Lytechinus pictus: one gene and its partner. Each later gene encodes a partner of the first gene's protein in a complex. Links are inferred from orthologs where the notes say so. Each region holds a gene or a part of one and is shown on either strand. Other genes may lie near its edges.

Evidence for each region.
Region 2: the proteins of nuclear RNA export factor 1-like (region 1) and NTF2-related export protein 2-like are in contact, whole or in part, in a crystal structure (PDB 6IHJ), measured with the Drosophila melanogaster proteins. The link is inferred for Lytechinus pictus from reciprocal best matches to the Drosophila melanogaster genes sbr and Nxt1. Residues at the interface, in NP_524660.1 of Drosophila melanogaster: Leu359, Leu360, Glu361, Thr362, Lys363, Ala364, Ser365, Tyr366, Met404, Leu405, Ser406, Ile407, Ser408, Met409, Pro410, Gln414, Arg426, Asn427, Leu428, Arg429, Arg438, Thr439, Leu442, Tyr444, Thr467, Val468, Asp469, Thr471, Ile472, Met477; in NP_611833.1 of Drosophila melanogaster: Met1, Leu5, Val9, Glu10, Ala13, Asp17, Arg21, Thr43, Ser45, Trp46, Asn47, Gly48, Asn49, Gly50, Ile52, Tyr60, Leu64, Leu71, Asn72, Thr73, Leu74, Asp75, Ala76, Gln77, Pro78, Ile79, Val80, Asp81, Leu91, Met93.

What each region holds. Positions count from the first base shown.
Region 1 is NC_087251.1:3,279,463-3,290,437, reverse strand, and holds the start of nuclear RNA export factor 1-like, read left to right. Parts: upstream 1-5,808; 5' UTR 5,809-5,823; coding exon 5,824-5,953; intron 5,954-10,769; coding exon 10,770-10,975. UniProt on the Drosophila melanogaster protein: Mediates the export of the majority of mRNAs from the nucleus to the cytoplasm. In ovarian follicle cells, plays a role in transposable element silencing regulation by enabling the nuclear export of flamenco (flam) transcripts and subsequent piRNA biogenesis.
Region 2 is NC_087249.1:38,557,101-38,568,245, forward strand, and holds the start of NTF2-related export protein 2-like, read left to right. Parts: upstream 1-6,862; 5' UTR 6,863-6,982; coding exon 6,983-7,003; intron 7,004-11,145. Other genes in the region: ETS-related transcription factor Elf-4-like, read left to right, coding at 253-355.

The DNA of each region.
Region 1 (10,975 bases):
TTTATCATTGACATTAAACTTACTGTTTTCCCGAAATATTATACAGCAATGTAAAAAAAATAGACTGAGTGTACTTGGTTTGGAAAATAGCCTTGTTTTTAACTTGAGAGTTTTAAAAGTAATATATTATCAGATAGATGGTCTACATTCATAAATTGGTAATGAGAAAGAAGCAAAACTATTTATTTCCCAGATGTTTGTTTTGATTTAGTATTGTCTGTATTTCCTTAAATGTGTAGTATTCTGGTCACATTTATAAAATCAATCATGCATCAGCTATCATTTTGTTTTACACCCATATGTATATAAAATGAATGTTTCTATTATATGTGTTGGATGCTTGAGTAATCAACTGTGAGCTACTCTATATAGTATTGAATTCTTTATTATTATTATTATTTGTCATTAGCTATAGCATGTATTGTCAACTACACACACCACCAGTTGGCTTTACATTTATAGTTGGTGCTATATGGCTAATTACAAATAATAAAAAAAGAGTCTAGAACTAGACTAATAGAGAACTTGCACCCATGGCAGTTATATTTTGACTCCCCTTGGTACTTCATGTATGACCAATTCCAGATAAAATGTACTCACAAAGGACCAAATGATTTAATGCTGATGTTTAAGTATATACCATTCATGTATGCAAGTTTGGTCAGGTCATATTTGAAATGTGTGTAAATTGATTTAGGGGGTGAATTTTTACCCACCTCTCATTCTTCACTACCTCTATGAACTTCTCTGCTGCATAATGATATAATAGAAAGTGGAGTCTTTCAAATATGCAGACAAATATCCACAAGTATTATATTAAATATCCATTCAAGCAAAAGAATATATAGTTTCCAACTGTAAGTAAAGCAAGTAAATCAACTGGCCTGTCATCTATATTTCCTTCATACATGAACAAATTGTGTGTAAGTGGTAGTTTTACAATAAAGAAAGGTGAAGAAAAAAGTATGCTGGTCTTGGTGTATCCTATTGATTCATGGCAATTTCATTTTAACTCTGTTTTACGTTGAAAAAATAACACCCCTTTTTCAAAAGTGCATAAAGTTTTTATCAAAATATTTGAAAGGAGTCTTCCTCGTTTAACTTCTATGTGAAATGATAGTGATCTGTCAAGTCATGCATAAGCAAGTCTTGAGCACACATAAGAGCCCAAAATTGTCAATATTCAACATTTTGTTTTCTGCCAAAATAACAGTAAATCAGGGCTTGACATTAGCTGTTGCCTAGGGCAACCAAAAATGAGAGTTGGGCCACCAAAATTCTGTAAAAGTCAATACTTGGTGGCCTGGTTGGGCTACCAAAGTTTTGATAAATTGTAATATTTTCTATTGTTTTTAGGGCCACTTAATTTGCTTTACGAGTCACCAAAAATATGAAATTGATGATTTTGGTTGACTGATCGGGCCACCGAGAAAAGTTAGTGTGGAACCTTGAGTAAATAACAATGTTTTGCTTTATTCACATTGTGTAACCTTGACCTCATTCTTTTGGCTTTTGTACATTCATGAGTCATTTTAATGGATAAATCTCATTTTCACACAACTGATAAAAATTTGTCAATGAGTGAAAAAAATATCCTGTCAAATTAATTTAAGCAAAGCACATTCATTAGAGGAGAATGAAACCCTTGAAACCAGCTGAATCCATATCAAAGAGAAAAATCAAAGAAACATATTGTTGAAAGTTTGAGGAAGATTGAATGAATAATAAGAAAGTTATGAGCATTTGAATATTGAGATCACTAATGCCATGTAGATCCTCCAATTGGCAATGCGACCAAGATCTGTGATGTCACACGTACAACTCCCTCATTACTTTAGTACTTATTTCACTTATATTCTCACTTTTATAGAGTCTATCACAAGGTGAGGTGTTCTTTTTATGAGAGGACAAGTACAGAGGTTTCACAACATTATATCATTGATGAATCGTTTGTCATATGATTAGAATGAGCAAAAAGAGATGTTTTGGGGTATATTTTCAGTGTCCAAAAGGGGAGAGTTGTTCATCTGTGACATCATAGATCTTGGTCGCATTGCCAATAGGAGGATCTCCATAGCATTAGTGATCTCGACATTCAAATGCTCACAACTCTTCTATTGCTAGTCCTATTTTACTCAAACTTTTGTTGATCTTATTCTTTGATTTTTCTGCTTTCACAAAAGCTAACTTGCTCCAAGAGTTTCATTCTCCTTTAAGAAGTAATGTTATTTGCAAAAAGGTGAGTTAACTAAATTTTTGTTATTTTATATTTTTATGACAGGATTTTTAGCAAAATTATTTTCCACTTGTATATAATTTCAATTAGCTACATTATTTATATAAGTCATCTATATTTATGATGAAATAGAGACATGTACCCACGTTCCCTGTCAGTGATAATGGAGAAACTAATCCTGGGGCCCGTCTTACAAAGAGTTGCGATTGATCCGATCAATCGTAAATATGGAAAGCCAGCAAAGTCAACATATAAAATGCACGATTATTCAAAAAAAAATTCTAGATATGAATGCATCCATAAATTCATTGATTTCTTGACAATTTGGTGTGTTCTCCTTTGTTTACAAAGGACAGTTTGCAAATTTCCTGTAAAAAAATTATGACACTGATGGATCTCCATAGAGTTACGATTGATTGGATCAATCGTAACTCTTTGTAAGACGGGGACTTGATCTAGCAATAGAAAAGGTCATACAATACAAGTCTTCAGTAACCTAAAACAGGTACAGTATAGTGATAACAGGCAATTTGATAAACCACATGGTTTAACAGGATAGCATAGGAGGAGACAAAGTGGAACACAAATGAAAGGGAGGGGGAAAGACATGGATGAGAGCCTGGAAGAGGAAGATATGAAAGAGATTACTTAGTGATCAACCGCGTAGCCAGGATTTCATTTTGGAGGGGGTGGTAAATGCACGCGAAGCGTGCCAACGCTTACAGAGCGCGTTCCCTAGGGGGTGGGTGCAGGGAGGGGGAGTTTCCCCCTCCCGCGCGAAGCTTTTGGTGTTTCATAAATTAAAATGAAAAGGAGTTGTCTCTCTTGTCTCTAGTATCTATATCAGCTCGAATTCAGTTGACTATATTGTGATTTTGAACCTGGTTTTCATGAACCTTGTTTTAAAAAAAGATTGTGAACGCACAAAAAAGGAATACAATGGAGGAAATTAAAATGATAATAACCCCGCGCGAAGTGCGGCAGCTAAAGCGTTTTATCAATTTTTTGCCATGAAAAGGGTCCCGAGAAAAGGATATTCTCAAACATATATTGAATACTTCCCTTGGAAAGATCAGATTTGATTACAAACAATTTAGCGACAGTGCATATCTTTAACTCGCAAAACAGAGGAGAAGAAGTGTATATGCATGGAGGAAGAAATTCCTCCCCGCGCAGAGCAACGAAACTCTGAAATTTCAAAGGGCGGATGTTTCATCAAAATAATGCAGATACCTCCAATACCCCATCGGCTCTAATTCAATTAATTTTCTAAGATTATTGAACTTCATTTAAAGGAAAATAGTGCGCAAAAAGTTGAAACTTCTGTGATTTATTGAAATTATATAAAAAGGATGCCTAATTTCTTTGACTTATCCTGAAGCGCTTCATTTTGAATTATAAATAAACTTAAGAGTCATTCGAAATTTCAAACTGAGGGCGAAAAACAGGACAGGAGATGAATGTACAGGGAAATGACATGAAGTTGAATAGAATTTGATAAAAAATATTGTACTTTTTTATTTAATACCCTTATACGATACGAATTTTATACCTTCCTCTTTTTGGATTAGGAACCTGTTTGCCCCAAAAATTATGGTTGTTTAGTAATGAGCTGAAAAGCGGGAGAAGTTGACTTTATGGAGGTGACGGCAGAAATTGATATAAAGATTTTACCCGCCCGGAGCCGACCCGACCAGAAGTTGCGCGATCAATTTAAAAAAAAGATAACTTCATATACTTCGGCCTGACCTTACTCTAATTCCATGCCCTAATGTATACATTTGAACTTTAACTGGCAATAAACACATATAGCTGAGGTAGAAAAACAGGGTTAGAGAAAGGGTGGGGGAAACAATTGGAGATCTTCAATATTTTCATTTAACCGCGCGCAGCGCGGAAGCAAAATTCATAACCATAAATTTAGAGCAAGAGTGAAGGAGTTTCTCTTTTGAGAAAAAAAAAAGAATAAAAAGAAAAAAAAAACACAAAGCTACCTTTTTTCCCTTTCCTCCCTTCCCTTTTCCTTTTCTCCTCTCTTTTTTTCCTTCTTTTTGGGGACGTTTTGGGGGGGGCGACCGCCCCCACCGCCCCCCTGGCTACGCGCCTGTTAGTGATACAAGTACATACATATTTGACCTAAGATACCTACCATTAGACAGGACCTGTTGCATATTTATTGATTAAATACATGAGAGATTCATTACTTCCATTTTAAGCCAGCTTGAAAAATATGATGTATTTTATAAAATACAAATTTGTTGTGTTTACTTCAATTAAATTAGGTACATGATCATGATAGAATAGGTAAAGGAGATAGATAAAGAGAAATAAGTGATTTGAGATTGGATAGGATATGGAAGCTTAGCATGGGGTGACTCCTTCCTCCTGGAAAGTGATAAATTTCTGAAAACATTCCCCATTTTTTCTGTTATTTCAGGGTAAAGTATCAGGGTCCTCCTGTCTCACAAAGAGTTGCTATATTGATCTGATCAATGCAACTATGGAAGGCCAGCAACAACGTCAACATCTAAAATGCATCTTTGTTCAAAATATTTCCTACATGTTGTATATTCATACATTCATTGCTTTCTTGAAAAAGTTCTGCATGCTTCTTTTTGTTTACAAAGGCTTTATTGTGCAAATTTCTTGTAGAAAAAATATGACATTGATGGATTTCCATACAGTTAAGGTTGATCAGATAAATTGCACCTCTTTAGTTTAGACGGGGCCCAGGTCTGAATATTATAAATAATAAACTTAAAAGTGCTGTTTATCAATAGGCTTTAATTCCATTGGCTGTTTCAGCATGGATTGCTGCATATAGGACCCGGATATAGGATATTTGAAGAGAGCATAGAGATACAAAAATTAATTATGGTACAATATGGCAATCACAGTAATTCCACTATATCAAAAAAGTTGTTATGGAAGGAGATTTGTTATAAGTGCCCTTTTCAAGGAAATGTTTGTTTATGTCCCGGGTTTATGTCACCAATCAAGAGAACTTTTATATTCCAGGGATATATAGGCCCAGGGTGAATGGCATTCTATGGTAGTTGGGCCATTGTATACGGTATGCATAGTAATTCCTTTTTTGTTTTACAATTTTGTATTACAATTCAGAAAAGAGGATTATTTTTGGTGGCGTAATGCATGTAGGGCCTAAGTAAAGTTGATAATTGGTCCCTCCCCCGTCAACCTTTCAGATGCCACTATATACCACCAGGAGCTGGACAGAAGATCCTGCCAGATTGAACCTTATAATTATGTAAAAAAACAAAAGGCTGGGCCGAAAAGGGAGCTCCAAAAAAGCCCCCCCGCCCCCTCCTCCTCCCAATGCTGCGAAGAATTGTAGTGCCATAGAAAGTGTAATCTGTTTTCCGTTTTGACTATGGGATGGCTTTTTAAAATTTTCCAAAAATGCTTTGTTATATATATGTTTTAATCCCTTTCTCAACGCTGGAGACGAGGCCTTGTACTTGTCAGACGTGAGGTGGCGCAAGACCACTAAAATCGACGACTTCAACGGTGTACGAGACGTCGACCCTGTACGTACGTAAATTGTACGTGCGCGCGCCCATACCGGTATGCCATATGACGAGTCTGGCGGCGAGGCCGAAATACAAGTCGGAAAACGGAACATCATGTCGAGTTTTCAGCGTCATGGAGATTTCACAGTGACAAAATCTACTAAAGGAGGTGGTAGAAATTACTACGGTAAATATAAAAAGATGTTCTTTCTGTTTTGCATGATAAGTGTAAGAAAATATTTGCCGGTTTTCTCAATCATACTGCGTGTGAATGTTGAAAAGTTTGTAGTTTTTGTACCGTACGGTTCCGGTACCCAGTTGTTGTTTGTCCGGACAGGTTGTGTGTCCGGACGATCAATTTTAGAAAGTCATTTGGAAAAAAATACAAGCGAAGTTTCATCAATTTTTAGTACAAAACGTTAGGAAATATTATAAAGAACAAAACAGAAGATGATTACAAGTATTGAATTTATATTTTTAGTGTAATACAAAGACAAAAAAGAAGGCGTCAAAAAGATAAAGTGTCCGGACACCCGACCCCCCCATCCTACCGCTTTTGAATGTGAGAGACCATTGGCATTGCCATTGATTATGAAAGGGGGGGGGGGGGGGGTGGCCTCTGCTCGCCTAACTATTTTTTAAAGTTAAAATTTAACATGAATTCATGAATTTCTTTTTATTTCACAAACATTTTCTGTTGATAAAGTTCCTTATATTCTTCTGAGTAAGTGTGCCGAAAATCTCAGATACGATTACCGGTGTCAGTGTGTGCTGTATCAGTGTATGTGTAATCACAATTCCACAATATTTTCAATTAGTACCGTAAGGGCACTAGTTAGTAGTATTCAACCCGGCATAATTCAAAGATTTTGACAAATTCCCCCAAATATTTAGCACTTTTGCACTGAATTGCACTAGTATTCAACCTAGTGATGATAAGCGAATTTCAAAATGGTTTAAATTGCTAAACTAGATAGATCTATGCAAGTCTCTGGCTTTGACTAATTCCGTTTCTTGGTCTCATCTCAAATGGTCTAGTCCATAGGCAGATGGGACAAGGGCAGATTGAGAGACAGGGCCATCTTATAATCGCTAGGTTGAATACTAGTGCTGACGGATTGAATACTAGTGCCAAAAACCATCGCCGTATAATTCGATCGCCCGCGCACACAGTCGACGGGTTGAAGAAAAAAATAACGCAAAAAGAATAACCAGCATTTGCTCTTGGAAGTAAGACAGGTCTGAAATTAAGGTAAATTCCAAATTTCTATATCAAGGCTCCACATTAACTTTTTTTGGTGGTGGCCCGTTTGGGCCACCAAAACCATCAAATAATTTTTTTTGGTGGCCCGATATTAAAGTTTGGTGGCCCGAAAAATATAAAGAAAAACATTAAAAATGAATAAAACAAACTTCTGAAATATTAATTCTGCAGCCAATACCACTATGTTACTTTTACTTTATACATCTTGTATGTAAACCTTGTTTGCTGTTATTTTACTTTGCTAATTGATAAATGTTTCTATCGTTGTAAAAATGAAATGATTGAAAGAGAATAAATGAATTGTATTGTTCGCAGGTTGTGTGGACTTTTTTAAAAATCTCTGTATAGAGATAATGGTAAAGTAAATAAATAGTGCATAGCAAATTCAGATAGATGTACAAAACAATGGTTTTTCCTTCCTTCCTCTTTGAATCCTAAAACCTAGATTATGCATGCCCCAAATCCAGTTTATTTCTGTTTTCTCTTTTGCAGCATATTATAGAAGGAGAAAATCACAGAAAAATATGCTGCAAAATTAAAACAATGAATAAAAGGGGGAAACAAACGAAAATAATTTTCAAAAAGTATATTACAAAAAGAAAACAAAAATAAAAGAAATTAGTGAAATAAAATAAAAAGAAAGAAAATCATAGAAAGAAAAAAACAAAGAACAGGGAAAAAAAGAAAAGAAAAAAATTAGAGAGAAAAAAGAAAAGAAAATGAAAGAAAAATTAATAAAACAAAGTTAATAAAAAAATGGGGAAAAGGAGAAAATTAAGAAGCCATTACATATATTTTTAACAGCTGTGGCAACAGTCTATTCTGACTGGAATATAATTAAAAGCCAAGCAAATAATTTTCACTTTTTGGGAATGGCACATTTTTATTTGTATATCCTTTAGTTTGTATTATTTTATTTTCAGTAGAAACATATTTTTTAATCAGGCATATTCACTGGGAAGGGGTATAAATGGTTTAACCACTGTCAAAAAAAATCAAAGGAAAAAAAATAAGAAAACGGCAAAAATTATATCTGGAAAAAAGTGTGAGAAAAGTCCTTCCCTATGTTTGCCAAAATGTTGGAAAAAAAATCACATTTCATATCAATGAAATGCCTTCCCAAAGTATTTACTTTCTCAAGAGTGGTTTAAGAAGTCATTTATAAACAAGAAAGAAAGAAACTGTCTGTTTGTTTTTGGCTAGAAAATACACAGCTTCGAAAGAAACCAAGTATCAACATACATACAAATGCACACGTGGGACTGTGATGTACTTGCCTATGTGTTTTTATGTGTATTAATTCATGTGGAAATCGGTCTTTTTTAGTCAAAAGAGAGGTCATAATTCCTCTTCTTAATACTTGCAAATAATCAGGGTACACCAGATTTTCGTAATATAGACTGTAGAATTGCATTTCATTGGTGTAAAATGTGACTTTGACTTAGATTTTCAAAGTTCTGTGGAAGATTTCTCAGCAGCAACATTTTTTATCGCAGCTCCCCGAGTCTGAATAGGCTGAGCTAGATCTAGAGCACAGCTGTATGCAGTGGCTTCATGCAAAGCTCATGCCAGCCGGCCGGCGCGTCTGGCTGGATAATAGCTACTCTATGCTGTAGCTGTAGGCCTAATATGCAAACTTTGTGTGTGTGTATTTGTGTGTAGATCAACAAAAAGGGCGCATGACGAACTGGCTTGCAACTTGAGCTGTAGAAAGTTGATAAATGCGTGCAAAATTGGGAGAAAAATTGCGCTACTTTGAAAATTATTGGTTGCCCGATTCGGGCCACCAAAACTTAACATTTTATCAATAATGGTTGCCCGAGGTGAATTTTTGGTGGCCCTGGGCCACCGGGCCACCGCTAATGTCGAGCCTTGTCTATATATTTGAGGAAACTCTCCAAACGGGTTGAATACTAGTGCTCTTACGGTATGTAAAATGGAGGGCTTCTTCTGCTTCTTCCTGTTACTGCGGACAAACTCCTCAATTGGGATATGATTGCTGCAGGCATGTGTGGCTAGTGATGAATTTGATTTTGAATTCATGATGATGTGCCCCCCCCCCCCCCCCCCCCGGATGAAAGTAGACATTTGAATTTTGCTTAAACTTTTCTTAAAACTATCAACCGAAACTATTAACCGGCTAGGGAATGTGTAGCCAGGAGGCTTCTTGAGAGTAAAAATCATTTACTAACGTATGCTTACTCTCAATGAAGCCAGGGATTCCTTCCTATTCATCTGCATGTACCGCCAAAAAACCTGAAACTTTCGCCCCTGAGATTTCTACTTTCCTTCTAAAACATCTAGCCATAAATCATGTATGGTAGGGGGTCCTAAAGCTACGCACCACTCCAATGCGCATGCAATTTCAATTGCAAAATGCGCACTCTGCAGTGTGACGGACGATTCCTTTCACTTTTTTTCTACAGAGGCTGCAATAAATCGCTAAATACAGAGAAAACCAGCAACTGTTTGGAATTTTTGAGTTATATTCACTTTGATTTCATATTTTTCTATAAGAATATGAACATTATTTAGAAGTTTAGGTACAGGAAATTATTTTTCTTTGCATGATAAATTGAGTGCGTAGCTTAAGGACCCCTTCTATGTCGGGCGGCGAAATCAAGAGGTGTTCGGAAAACACAGCGGGATTTTCGTATTAGTGAGTTTTGTGATATTTTCTTTTTGGTTATGAATCTTTACAATATTTAACACAAATTTGTGAAAGATGATTTGTTAGAATATTAAAATTGGCATAGTTTTTATCGTTTGTAAACAAAGTGCGTAGCTTACATGGGATAAAACTTCATTTCCGACATTTCTACGCTCTCGGTTTTATTTTTAAACAAGAATTCAACGTTGGGGAAGTACAATAGGAAACAAGATGGCGGCGTAAACATCGGGCAAGTCTCTTCCGTCTTTTCACAATATTTTTCTCATTTTTAAAATGAATTCTTGTTTAAAAATAAAACCGAGAGCGTAGAAATGTCGGAAATAAAGTTTTATCCCATGTACATGATTTATGGCTAGATGTTTTAGAACTAGGAAAGTAGAAATCTCGGGGGCGAAAGTTTCAGGTTTTTTGGCAGTACACGCAGATGAATAAGAAGGAATCCCTGGCTTCATTGAGAGTAAACATACGTTAGTAAATGATTTTTACTCTCAAGAAGCCTCCTGGCTAGGAATGTGTGGTTGGTACAGGGGGTGGATTTAGTGCTGCATGGATTTCCCACTCTGCTGAAGACTTTTTGATATGTTTACTCAAGAGTGGATTGCAGTCACATGGTCAAATATACGACATACACCGAACACAAGAAAATCTACTCACATGACAGTCCAATGCACAGAAAAGCCCAAACTCCAAAACACCCTCCAAAAAGCAAAATTTTGTCATTAAAATTAAGTGATGAATCTGTGTCTTATTTCCGAACTATGCAGCGGGTTAACTTAGACAGCAGAAATTAGTCTGTTTGGAGGAGTTTTTAATCATTTTTTATGGTAGATTATGTTGAGATGGCAGAGACTAACCATAATTTTTCATTCTTACGGTATGTATTTTGTGCCAAGGGATAATCCAAGAATAAGCTGTAGAGTAATTGATTTTGAACTAGTTCATGTTTTGGGGTGTTTCTTTTCTCCGGAAAAAAAATTCCAAAGACTTGGTGAATTGAAACATTGTTTGGAATATGATCATGAATTAGCTCTGACCTTTTTATCACTTGTTTTCAATGAATACTTGCAGGACATGATGATCGCACTCGAGAAACACCAAGTGGCCACTGGCGAGGTGGAGGAAGAGGAGGGGGAGGTGGAGGAAGAGGAGGAGGAGGAGGAGGAGGAGGAGGAAGAGGCGGGGGACGAGGAGGAGGAAACAGAAATGACTGGGATCAGAGTGACAGATATGACCGAAATGATAACTTCAGAGGACAAGGACGCAATGACTATGAC
Region 2 (11,145 bases), on another chromosome or scaffold:
ATCAAATTCAAAATAATTCCCCATATGGATTGAACTTGTATCAATTTCTTATTTTTTTTTTGGGGGGGGGGAATTAGCATGGCAGAAATTGTGTGTGAACTTTTTTTTTTGCAATAATTTTGATAAAATAGATCTGTTGTAAAAAGGTGCAGTAAATAAAAAGGTACAAGAAATCTACAAAAAATATACCAATTTGTAAATAATTTCTCGATAAATACCAATCAAATAATACATTTGTTTCATTTTTTTTAGGTACTACTATCAACGGGGGATCCTATCGAAGGTTGATGGACAGAGGCTAGTCTATAAATTCTGTGAGATACCAAAGAACATCCGTGAAATCGACTGCAGTTGAGGTCTTCGGCATCACTGACAATCTTCCATTCATCAGCTTTGTGACTGGTTAAAACATTATTACAGAGATTCCAGATTATATAGAAATATATATGAATATATATTAGAGATACTTTATAATATTTGCTTGAGATTGCTTATTCCATTTCAACCGAACTGATGGGCAATGGAAATATTTGCTATGATGAGTATTCGACGCTGTAGTGCAGGAGATGACCAAACAGGATTTTCACCAATGGTGGCGAGCAATGGTGGCAAGGCCGAAAGAGGAAAATTTGATTATACATGCACTGTAATGTTTTGGAGATGTTTAGAGAGTTAAAAGCAACAATTTGATAATAGTGATTTAGGGTATATACCTCGCATATACCGATACCTACCTTGTTAGGTGTTCAATGTGCTTCTGTATTACCCCTGCTGAAGTAGCCTCCCGATTCCGGTGCTCACAGCTTTTTTGAGGAATTACCTCCTCCCGGTACCCATTTGGCTGGGAATCGAACCCACGATCCTCGGTTTCAAATGGGAGAGTCGGAAACACCAGACGGCATCGCTCCAAAGCAATAGTGACATGTTTCATCCTGCCAAGCAGCGACGAGAGAATGTATTACGAGCGAAAGAAAGCACGGGTGACGAGACTGACTATGAGGAGTGTTCTTGATCTTCCAGAAACATCTGTCACTCAGATTTGAGAAAATGTCCATTTTTGGAATTTTTGAATAATTTTCAGTATTTGAATGAATTCCCAAACCCCATTTTATGCATTTTATATGAACAGATGTTTTTTGTACATGTATGTTGTATGATTGTGCCGAGAAAGTGAGATTGCACGTGTAACAGTCATAGAATCTTTAGAGGGTAACATCATGGGAAATGACCTTCCTTATTACATGTTATAGCAATACTGATCATCTTGCTCTGTATGAGTTCTTGATGAAATTCCTTACATTGTGGAACAGATTTTAAAACCGTACCCCATATATCAGGGAATAATTTCAATTCTTAAATCTTATTAGCATTTGTGGTTGTTAGAGAAAAGCTTTCTGTACAAAAAAATGCTACACAAGTGAAATTTTGTGTAGCTGTCATAAAATTATGTGGAGCAAATTGTGATGCAATACCAGGAAATTATTTGCTGTGCTCAATATTAGATAGCTTGAACTGCAAACTCTGTCAATATCTGATGACCACTTGATATAATCATCCCATTACCCCTACTTGTGGTAAAAGTAACATTTAATTAACTGTAGTAAATCTGAAAATTGATACACAACCATTGAAACTCATGTAACAAATTGTAAAAAATTAACATGTCTTTTTCTGGAGACTTGCAGTCACTGTTTCAATTATATTTATATCATAATTACAATGTAGAGAGTGTATGAAGATGTGTGATACGGCTTAGAGTGAGACGAATCATAAGTTTTCTTTACCTCAAACTTTGCCTTAAAGTTGATTTTTTTTCTGGTACATCACCTTTACTGACTGTATATCTTGACATATTTTGAAGATATATATATATTTTTTTTCAATTAACCCTGCAGAGATTAACTTTTGGGGTGTACATGTAATTTCTATAGGGGATTTTAGTATCAACGTATCAAATGACATCATTTGTTAGAAATGCAAAGAATATGGGTTATGGTTAGAGCAATTTGAATATATTTAACTCTCGGCCATTATTCTCACAACGTTTTCATTTTTAAGAATACTATCTGTATTAAGGTGCTATGATAAGATTTAAAATGTAACTGTAAGACTATCAGTTTCTGTTAGGTTGACTGAGTTTTTTCCCCCTTGCACAACAACTTATCTATTTAGTGATCTGTTCGTGTACCATATTTGAACATTATAAGCAGTCCATGTTTTTTTATTTATATTTCTTCCTATTCTTGTTGCAATACTGTTAATCCTAAAAAGTCTGACTCTTAGTCTATTAGGGCCTATTTAGACCCATTTCACAGCCAGAGCCCCCCCCCCCCCCCGAGTCTTCTTCCCCTCTTTAAGATCTTGGCCCAATGCACCCATGTCATCCATGTCTGAACTTACATGTACGCATGAAAGTGAAAACAAAGGTGCGCTCAGATTAATTGTAAAGTGCAGTGGCTAATTTTGTGTAGAGACTCTGTGTGAGACTGGAAAGTACAAATAGTTATGAAACAATGTGGTGATTGCTTTTCACGTTGCAAGATTATTGCACAAAAATATTGAGGGGAGTATGGAATCCCCCCCCCCTTGGGCCTTATAGGGTTAAAATCTATATACATGTACATGTAGTACATGCTCCATAACTCTACTGGAAATTGTCAATTGATTGTGGAGCACGGATTTCAAGGGATAATTAACCCATAAAGAATGTAGTGGCAATAACTTATTGATTTGATTTGATTAGATTTGGGCATTAGATATGTTAGAAAAGGGAACAAGACAAACCAGTTTCTTGCCAAAAGAACTGTATGTATCAGTTCTACCTCACACAAGGTTTTACTTGTTTTCCCCTTGTACAGTTTGCCAGATTAAAAAAAATGTTCTTTATGCAACGTAAATTTGATTTGACTCCAAGATAGTGTAACAGTCTGGTTTATTATGCTTGTGTGAAGGGGACCATTTTACATGAATCATCATTATGGCTTTATGGATTTGACACTGAAATTTTTATGTACATACTTCGGGGGTAAATTCACAGTAATGTAGAAAAATTCCTAGGACCTTTGTCGATAAAAGGTAAACAACAAAAATTGATATATATTTTTGAATTTTGTGTGAAGATTTTCAATGTTCCGTTAATTTGATAAACCAAACTCATTTCATTGAACTCATTTGTAAATATTCCATGATCATTTTTTTTAAAGATGCTATTTTTATGCACGACATTACTCTTGTAAATTTGTGTAAATTTTGTTTATTTTATATTTTGCTACATATTTTTCTTTCATCAATACTTGGGAGTTGGGAATTAGTGGGTTAGATATATATTTCTGATTACTTTCACTGGAGTTGATACTCATCCCATTTACTTGGTAACAGACAAAAACAAAAGGTGCAAAGGGTTTTTTGACCCACATAATTTAGAAATAAAAGATCGCACTCATAGGGTGATGAAGATTGCCATTGGTCTCACTTCAGAATGTTTTGTTTATTTGATGGATAGAAATAGAGATAGTCAAAACACAGAATTTGTTTTGATGTACGTGTAATTTGGAAGATTTTTTTTTCATTTGCAGGAAGGATTAGTAGTAAATTACAAAGGTACATTCCATTCTGCTTTATAAATCACATTTTTAGTCGATACAAGCCTCAAATAACCATGGAAACGCACCAGCAATACAGACTTGGAAGCAGACAAAGTATCCCTCGATAATGTAATGAACATTACAAGAATATAGCAGAATATTTTCTCGTCAAATAATGCATGTACTCCATTGTTATTGTCATGTTTGCTTTTATATTTTTACCCTAACCCTAAGATAAATCATTCACTGCCATTGAGTTTGTGTATGAATACCGTATATGTGTAGCTGTTTATGCACTTGTAGTATGCGAAGGATGGAAAATATTATTTGAATCGATTCTGTAGGATAATACAGAACAGAAAATCAGGTTTCATTTGAAAGATTTTCCAGTTGAATTCTTTTATGTATGATAATAATTATAAATCCTATTTTATCCGTAAACAAATCATAATGTAAGTCCGCGGATCATCCCAGATATGCCAACTGTATGCCTTAAATTTCAATAATTTTAGGTCAAGGGCACATGTTACAACACAAATGGAAACAGACGTTGGCAGATTAAAAACATTCAAGAAATCCTTTGATAAAAAGAATATGTACGTGCTGAACAAATAAAATTCAGATTTTTCCCCTTTCATTCATTGTAAAGTTGTAATAACATGCACTATCCAATATCCCTTGTACATTGGAATAGAATATACACATATTGAACAGTTTTTAGTCCGGTGTTGGTGTTAGTGTTGGAAGCACAATTTGGATTATGTTGCCTTCATTAGCTCCCAAACCTATTCTGAGTTTAATTACAAAAATGATACAGATCACAATATTACTTGCGCAACACCTAGTGACTAGTGAGTGACTTTTCAGGACCAATATAATTTTACATTTGGTGCTATGCTCATGTGAAAATGGACCGAACATTAACACCAAAAGGTCAACACTTAACTTGAAATCACCCATTATGCCTTTAGATTCTGCTAGTTTGAAAAGATGACGGTTCCAAAAGTTCCAACCACTGAGATCCCTACATTCAATTGACTCTACTGTTTTGTGGTAGAGGACAAGAATATGGCTTTATGGTCCATATTCTGGACTTTGGTTGAATTCAAACCCTGATCAGGGCTCTGTAACACAAAGGTTTGGGATGGATTGCAAACATGAAAGAACCGACCTGATTGGTCCCTGGTCAGTATTTTAAACCAAATGCGCGTGTAGCATTGATATTGATTGGTCAGTTCATTTAGCGATTGATCGCTATTTGTGTTACGGAGCCCTGGTCCGTCTAGATCAATGTCTAACCAGGGATTTGGGAGGTCCCAATTCTGGTTTAACCATGGATAGCCACTAATATCCTCTATAGATTGTATGGAAATAATAAGTTTAATACTTTTCTTTGAGTTTGCCTTAGAAAGGACCCCATAAACCTAAAAATCAAATGCAAATTTTTGGCTTTAGCACAACTTCTGGCTTGTAATTAAGTTATCCGGCCAAGAGTTCAGAATTATGGACCAAGGAATTCTTTTTCTTTTTTTCACTGAATCTCTGCCTTTTGACATTCCTTTCTATATTTGTTCATTATGTACATGTATGTAAATGAAGGGTAGGCAGTGAGTTTTCTAAAAGAAACCCAAATGTACAATGTTGAAATGAGATGTTTTATTATTAAATGATTATATGAAAAAACTCTCGAAGTTGTATTCGTATTGTGTGAAATGTGAACACTTAATTAAGTCAATGAATCAACATTTGATGGTTTTTGTTGGATTCTGTTTTTTTTGTGTGTGTGTGTGTGATAGTAAATAATGCATTGTCAACTAATGAATTTCAGTGCAGGTGCTTTTGACTTCCACTAGGGAAATTGCTGCATATGAGACGGCGAACAAAATTACAATTTTGTCTTCTAAGACATGAAGATCATAATTTTTTTCATTGGGTGCACTTTGTACACATGATTTCTTTTTTTTTGTGTGTGTGTAATTGGCTGCCTGTTGGGGACTGATGTCCTTGTTTGCAATATCTCTCCTGAGTCTCGTGTCTTCAGTCTTCATTTGTTGGCAAAGGCGGAAATCTGTCTCCAAAAAGGTAGGGGGGACCAGGGGCTGGAAAATTTTACAAGCAAAAAAAAAAAAAGGTTATCGCCCCAAATGTAATCGACCAAAATAAATTTGTTTGACAAGCAAAAAAAAAAAAAGGTTATCACCCAATAAGTAAGGTCATCTCGTCCAAATACATGTTTTATTTCAATTTCTTTCTTTCCATCATAAAAGACCAAAAATAGTAGGGGGGACATTTGATATTGTCCCCCCTACTATTTTGGGTAGGGGGGACACGTCCCCCCTGGGATTTCCGCCCATGTTTTTTGGTGAATGTTTGTGAAGATGAATGCGGGAAGTTTAATTGACTTCAAATTTCAGACACTGATGCAAAACACAAAATATTGAGAGTAAAATTAGTATCCCACAAACTGGTTCCACAAGGACCTCTATCTTGTCAAAGCTAAATATTTTCTGAAATGTGCCATTTTTGACAATTTTCTTTAAATTGTGGACTTTGTTTTGAAGAGTGTGAGGGCAGAGTATTGTTGCATCATTGATCATTGATGCAAAGTATATAATATTGAAAGTATATGGAGTTATGTTCAAAGTTCAGAGTAAGATCAAGGTGGCACCAGATCTGTTTATTATAATATTTTAAAATCAGCTAAACATATGAAATGTTGTACGAACTCGTTTCATTTAAAGTTTAACAATTTATTCCACCATGGAAGAATGTGCCTAGTTGACCTGAACACCACGGAAACTTTTGAAATTTATTTAAGGAAAAAGTAATGTGGTTAGGAATGATGCGGAATTCTAAAAAGAAGATCAATGGAAAAAAACTGAATATGCAAATCCCATGGTATAATCATGCATTTTTTTCTTTTAACTTTTTCATTTATCAATTTAGTAGCACTCGCAAAAAGATGGGGAGCATGCCTCCTCCCCGTAAAAAAAGTTTTACGACCAAGAAAATAAGGAGAAAAGGAATGGGAACAAGTAAAATAATATATTATTTTCTGAGTATTTTAAAATCTATCCAAAAAATATTTTTTTGTAAAGCAAAGATCAAAATTTTGCTAGCATGTTTCCTTCTTTAAGGTTACACTTGCTCCTTCTAGCTTCTGTCATGCCTGTTCCTCTCACAATTTACGGCTCATTAAACCACTCTTCTTGTAAGTAGCTTAATAATGGCAGAGGGTCTCTTATTAAAACGTTTCACATTTTGATTTTTTTATTCATTTGCGGTCGGACGTTTCGCCGACACTATACCGGGGGACGGAACTGTTATTTATCGCCGAATATCCTGGGGAGTCTTCGGAACAGAATTTGGCTTTGATTTCATTTTATGACATCATAATAATGGCTTTATCTTCCACATCAGTAAGTACAGCTAGTGATCTAAAAAAAAAAACTATAATTTGTTGCATGAATTCGACGATTGAAGTTCAATAAGTATGAGGTTTTCACCCAGAAGTATTTAGATGGCAATCATATATTGTCCCATGTATTGAAATTTATGCTGGAAACGGCGCACCCGCACCTAGACCAACTCGGCAAAAGCTTCAGTCTCTGTAATCTGTATTTTGGTTGTTCCGCTGAACTGCGTTGGCTCCATCCACCCTAACCCGCGGGCGGGAGCCCAGGGGCTTACTGTGTATTAGACCAAAAAAAGCTTCGGTCTCTGTTATGTTGGTTGTTCAGCTGAACTCCGTTGGCTTCACTCACCAAATACAGAGACCGAAGTAACTTCTACTTCTAAGTTCTAGCGCGATCTGTACAGGGGACTCAATGGCCATATGTTATGTACTTAAGATCGGATAAAACGGGGAAGTGAATTTGCGCGACAGCCGAGGTAAATCACTGTTTTTGTTCCTTTTAACTTGATTTTTCTCCGTTTTTGGGCAATTAATGCCAAGACAAGAGGGAATATCAATTTGCATTTTGGTCGCGTTAATTTTCAAAATTTTTATTCATTAAATAAAGACAAAAATTGAAGAGCCCCGACGGGGGGATTTCGCATTGCAAGTCCCCTAATGGTGGCTGCACGCTAGCGAGCCGTCTGTGTACGAGGAGAATAAAAAAAACAAAAAATTTAAAAAAACTCCTCGAAACAGACGGCTGCCAGCTGTCTAACTGTGTATTTGACCATACTCACGGGACTAGGGTGATTTATGGTCTAAATATTTCTCCAAATGAATTGTGAAAACAGAAAGTATACAATTACCACGATTATATGGATGAAGGTCTAACGAGTGGCAGTTTCCTGACATCTGGGCACAGACTGGAACCTCAAAAAACGAAAAGTTCTCTCCTTTTACCCCAGTCTCGATCGGCCATTTTGTTACGATTTTTAACAAAAATGGCCGATTGAGACGGGGGTAGAAGGAGCTAGGAGAGAACTTTTCGTTTTTTTGAGGTTCCAGTCACTCTAGGCGACACCCCAATACTTACCCGTGTTAATAAACTGGGACTCCACTCACGCGCATTTGGGCCGCCCTAGCTTACAACTAAGCTTTGTTTTACGAAAAAATAAATATTCTTATGATTCAATACATGTTACTAAATAAATTTGTACTGTTAAATCGGTACTCACCGGTTCTTTTCTTGAATTTGCTGGCAATTTCCCACGCTTCTGGCTACAATTCTGCGACTAGCCCTGTCGCGGTAGACAGCTACATATGCAACTTTATTTATAAATGGAGCGCCCCTTACGAGAGTTGTTAATGCCGCGGAGAAATCGTTAGGCATTTTTGCCTGTGTTCAAGGCGTAGCTGTTCTATTTTTTTTTATAGGTATGAGATCGAAATCACAGCGAACTCGTATTTACACTCTTCCATGATGATTCCGAAAGAGAGGCGCATCACCCCCACCCACATGGGCGCAAATCCCAGGGGGACATGTCCCCCTCACCCAAAATAGTCAGGGGCACATTATGAAATGCCCCTCTACTATTTTTGGTCTTTTAATTCAAAAATCGAAATAAAACATGTATTTTGGAAGAGACGATCTTACTTTTGGGATGCCCTTTTTTTTTAGGGGGGGGGGCTTGTTTGCTTGTCAAATTTCTTTTGGTCAAGATGACCTTCTTTTAATTGGGGTGATAAACCTTTTTTTTTTTTTTTTTTGCTTGTCAAATTTTCCAGCCCCTAGTCCCCCTACCTTTGGGGAGAGATTTCCGCCCTTGCCTAACACTACTCTTGATATTGTTTGCGAATCTGCACGGGCGTCGGGGGCTGGGGGATGAGGGATGAGGAAAATCGGTGAGACGAGAAAAAAATAGAAGGGAAAAGAGGACAGAAATAAAGTGAACGAAAGATAAATTAATGGAAAAGAAAAGGGAGGAGAAAATAGTGAGAAAAGAGATTTTATGTGCCCATGCAAAAAGAAATGAGCAGAGGTTGAGATGTTGTCCGTTTGGGCAAATGTTTGTCTGTTTGTTGGACTGGCGCCTGTTGCAAAAATTATTAAGCTGATTGAATCGGGAAATGTTCCAACTGCTTCATGAGGATTTAGCGGTTGTAGGTATAAATCTGTATAAATCGCGCTCTAACGCTCTAAAACTGTGTTCCGGGCTGTGTTCTTAAAAGTTGTCCTTCATATTCATTTTCGCAAAAGAATATCAAGTTTTCAATCAATTGTCTATAGTTATCCTGTTTATGATAAAAAATACTTAGAAATTGGGTTAGGTTAGGGTTAAAAATTATCAGGGCACAAAATATATTTTTTCAGCTCGAGCGTCGAGCTGGCATTATTTGATCTGTGAGATTATGTTTTTAATGACATTCATTCTATTCACAGCAATATATTATTAAACATTGCCGCACGCGCTGTGTGCCGCATGAATTATAGATAGGTCTATACTTATCAGGTGAATGCTTTACCGCTTCACACTGATCATGCTGATACTGTTTTGTAAATTATAAAAAAGGGGAATTTCACCTTGATAAAAAGATTGTGATAATAAGAAAAATAATTTCAAAATATCGGTGAAGGTGTTATTATTTTTTTTAAATTGGAGTTAATAGAATTTCGAATGCTTGATTTGTGACGCCATAAACAAGCAGTTGCTCTATATTCTATGTAATATAAAATGCCAAAATTTCCCATTTTTAATGGTCCGTAATGACCCACTTTTTTCTTTTTGGAACGAGTAGGGGTATGAAGTTATCTATTGAAATACTGAATGTACAATAAAAGTCATTATCATGTATTTCTTGACATTTCATTTACTTTTTTTTACCATAATTATATCCTAAAGCTGCTCGCATAGGCCTACGCCATCACAAATAATTTTTTTTTTAATCTCACCTTTAATTTTTTTTTTGGGTGGGGGATGGATTTTCCTCGAACGCATACCAATTTTTCAAATAATTTTTTTCTGCTATTTTCATAATAAACTTTAAATGAATTCACCTTTGCACTACTTAATTTTTTCAAAGACAAAATTACATCTAGTCATCATCATCATCACCAACTTCATTCTCATCTTCATCACCACTACCACCATCATCATCATCACCGCCACCATCACCACCACCATCATCTTCACCAAGATAATTTTCATCATCATAACCATTGCCATCATCGTCTTTCTTTTTTTCTTATTTTTTCCCCTTCCAGTTCTTTTTTTCCCTTCATATTTTCCTCCTTTTTCAGAGGGGCACACCACCAATGTGTTTGATGTTGTATATAAGTTGGCGGATGCCTCATGAATTGAAATAACAGAGAAAATAAGGAAATGGAAAAAAGTAAGAAGAAAAAGAAGGATGAGGAGAAGAAAAAAAGAAAGCCAAACAAACAAGAAAAACCAATATCAAAATTTCGTAATAAAGTCTTCTACGTCAGTTTAATAATTATGTTTTCAATGAAATGAGAACATAAAAGAATTGAAACAAGTAAAAAGGGCTACATCATAGTTAAAAGAAATAGAGGGAAGCTCCGAGACAATAAAAAAGGGTAAAAAAATAAGAAAAGACTTTGAAACACTCACAACACGAGCATAATAAAAAAATTGGGAATAAGCGAGGACAAGTAGCTGAGGGACCCCCCCCCCTTATCTATCAAACTCGCATTTACAAGAACTTCTTACTAATCAAAATATTGCGAGCAAAAAGCACGAGCTGGCATTTTTTTAAATATTCAAAACTGATAGAGAGACACCTTTTAAACAATTCATGAAACATAATAATCATTCATTAGCTTAATCGAATCATTCGATTGCGAAAGGATCTGAGAATTTAGTGTTTTTAGGAATTCATTAGAAGCATAAATTTGTATCTCAACATTAAAATAAGATGGGCGCAATGCATGAGCTAAAGCTTTATATACCAATACAAAATTTGGACATTTAAAATATTTTCGTATTTATGAAAAAGATTGATATTTCATGAAAGCTCGAATCCCGAGGAGGAATATTTTTTATTAATTGACTTTTAAAAAGGCTGTTCTAAGCCCCATTTAATATTTGATTATAAGTCGAATAAAACAGTAAAAGCTGAAAAAATAAATTATATTTTATTCCA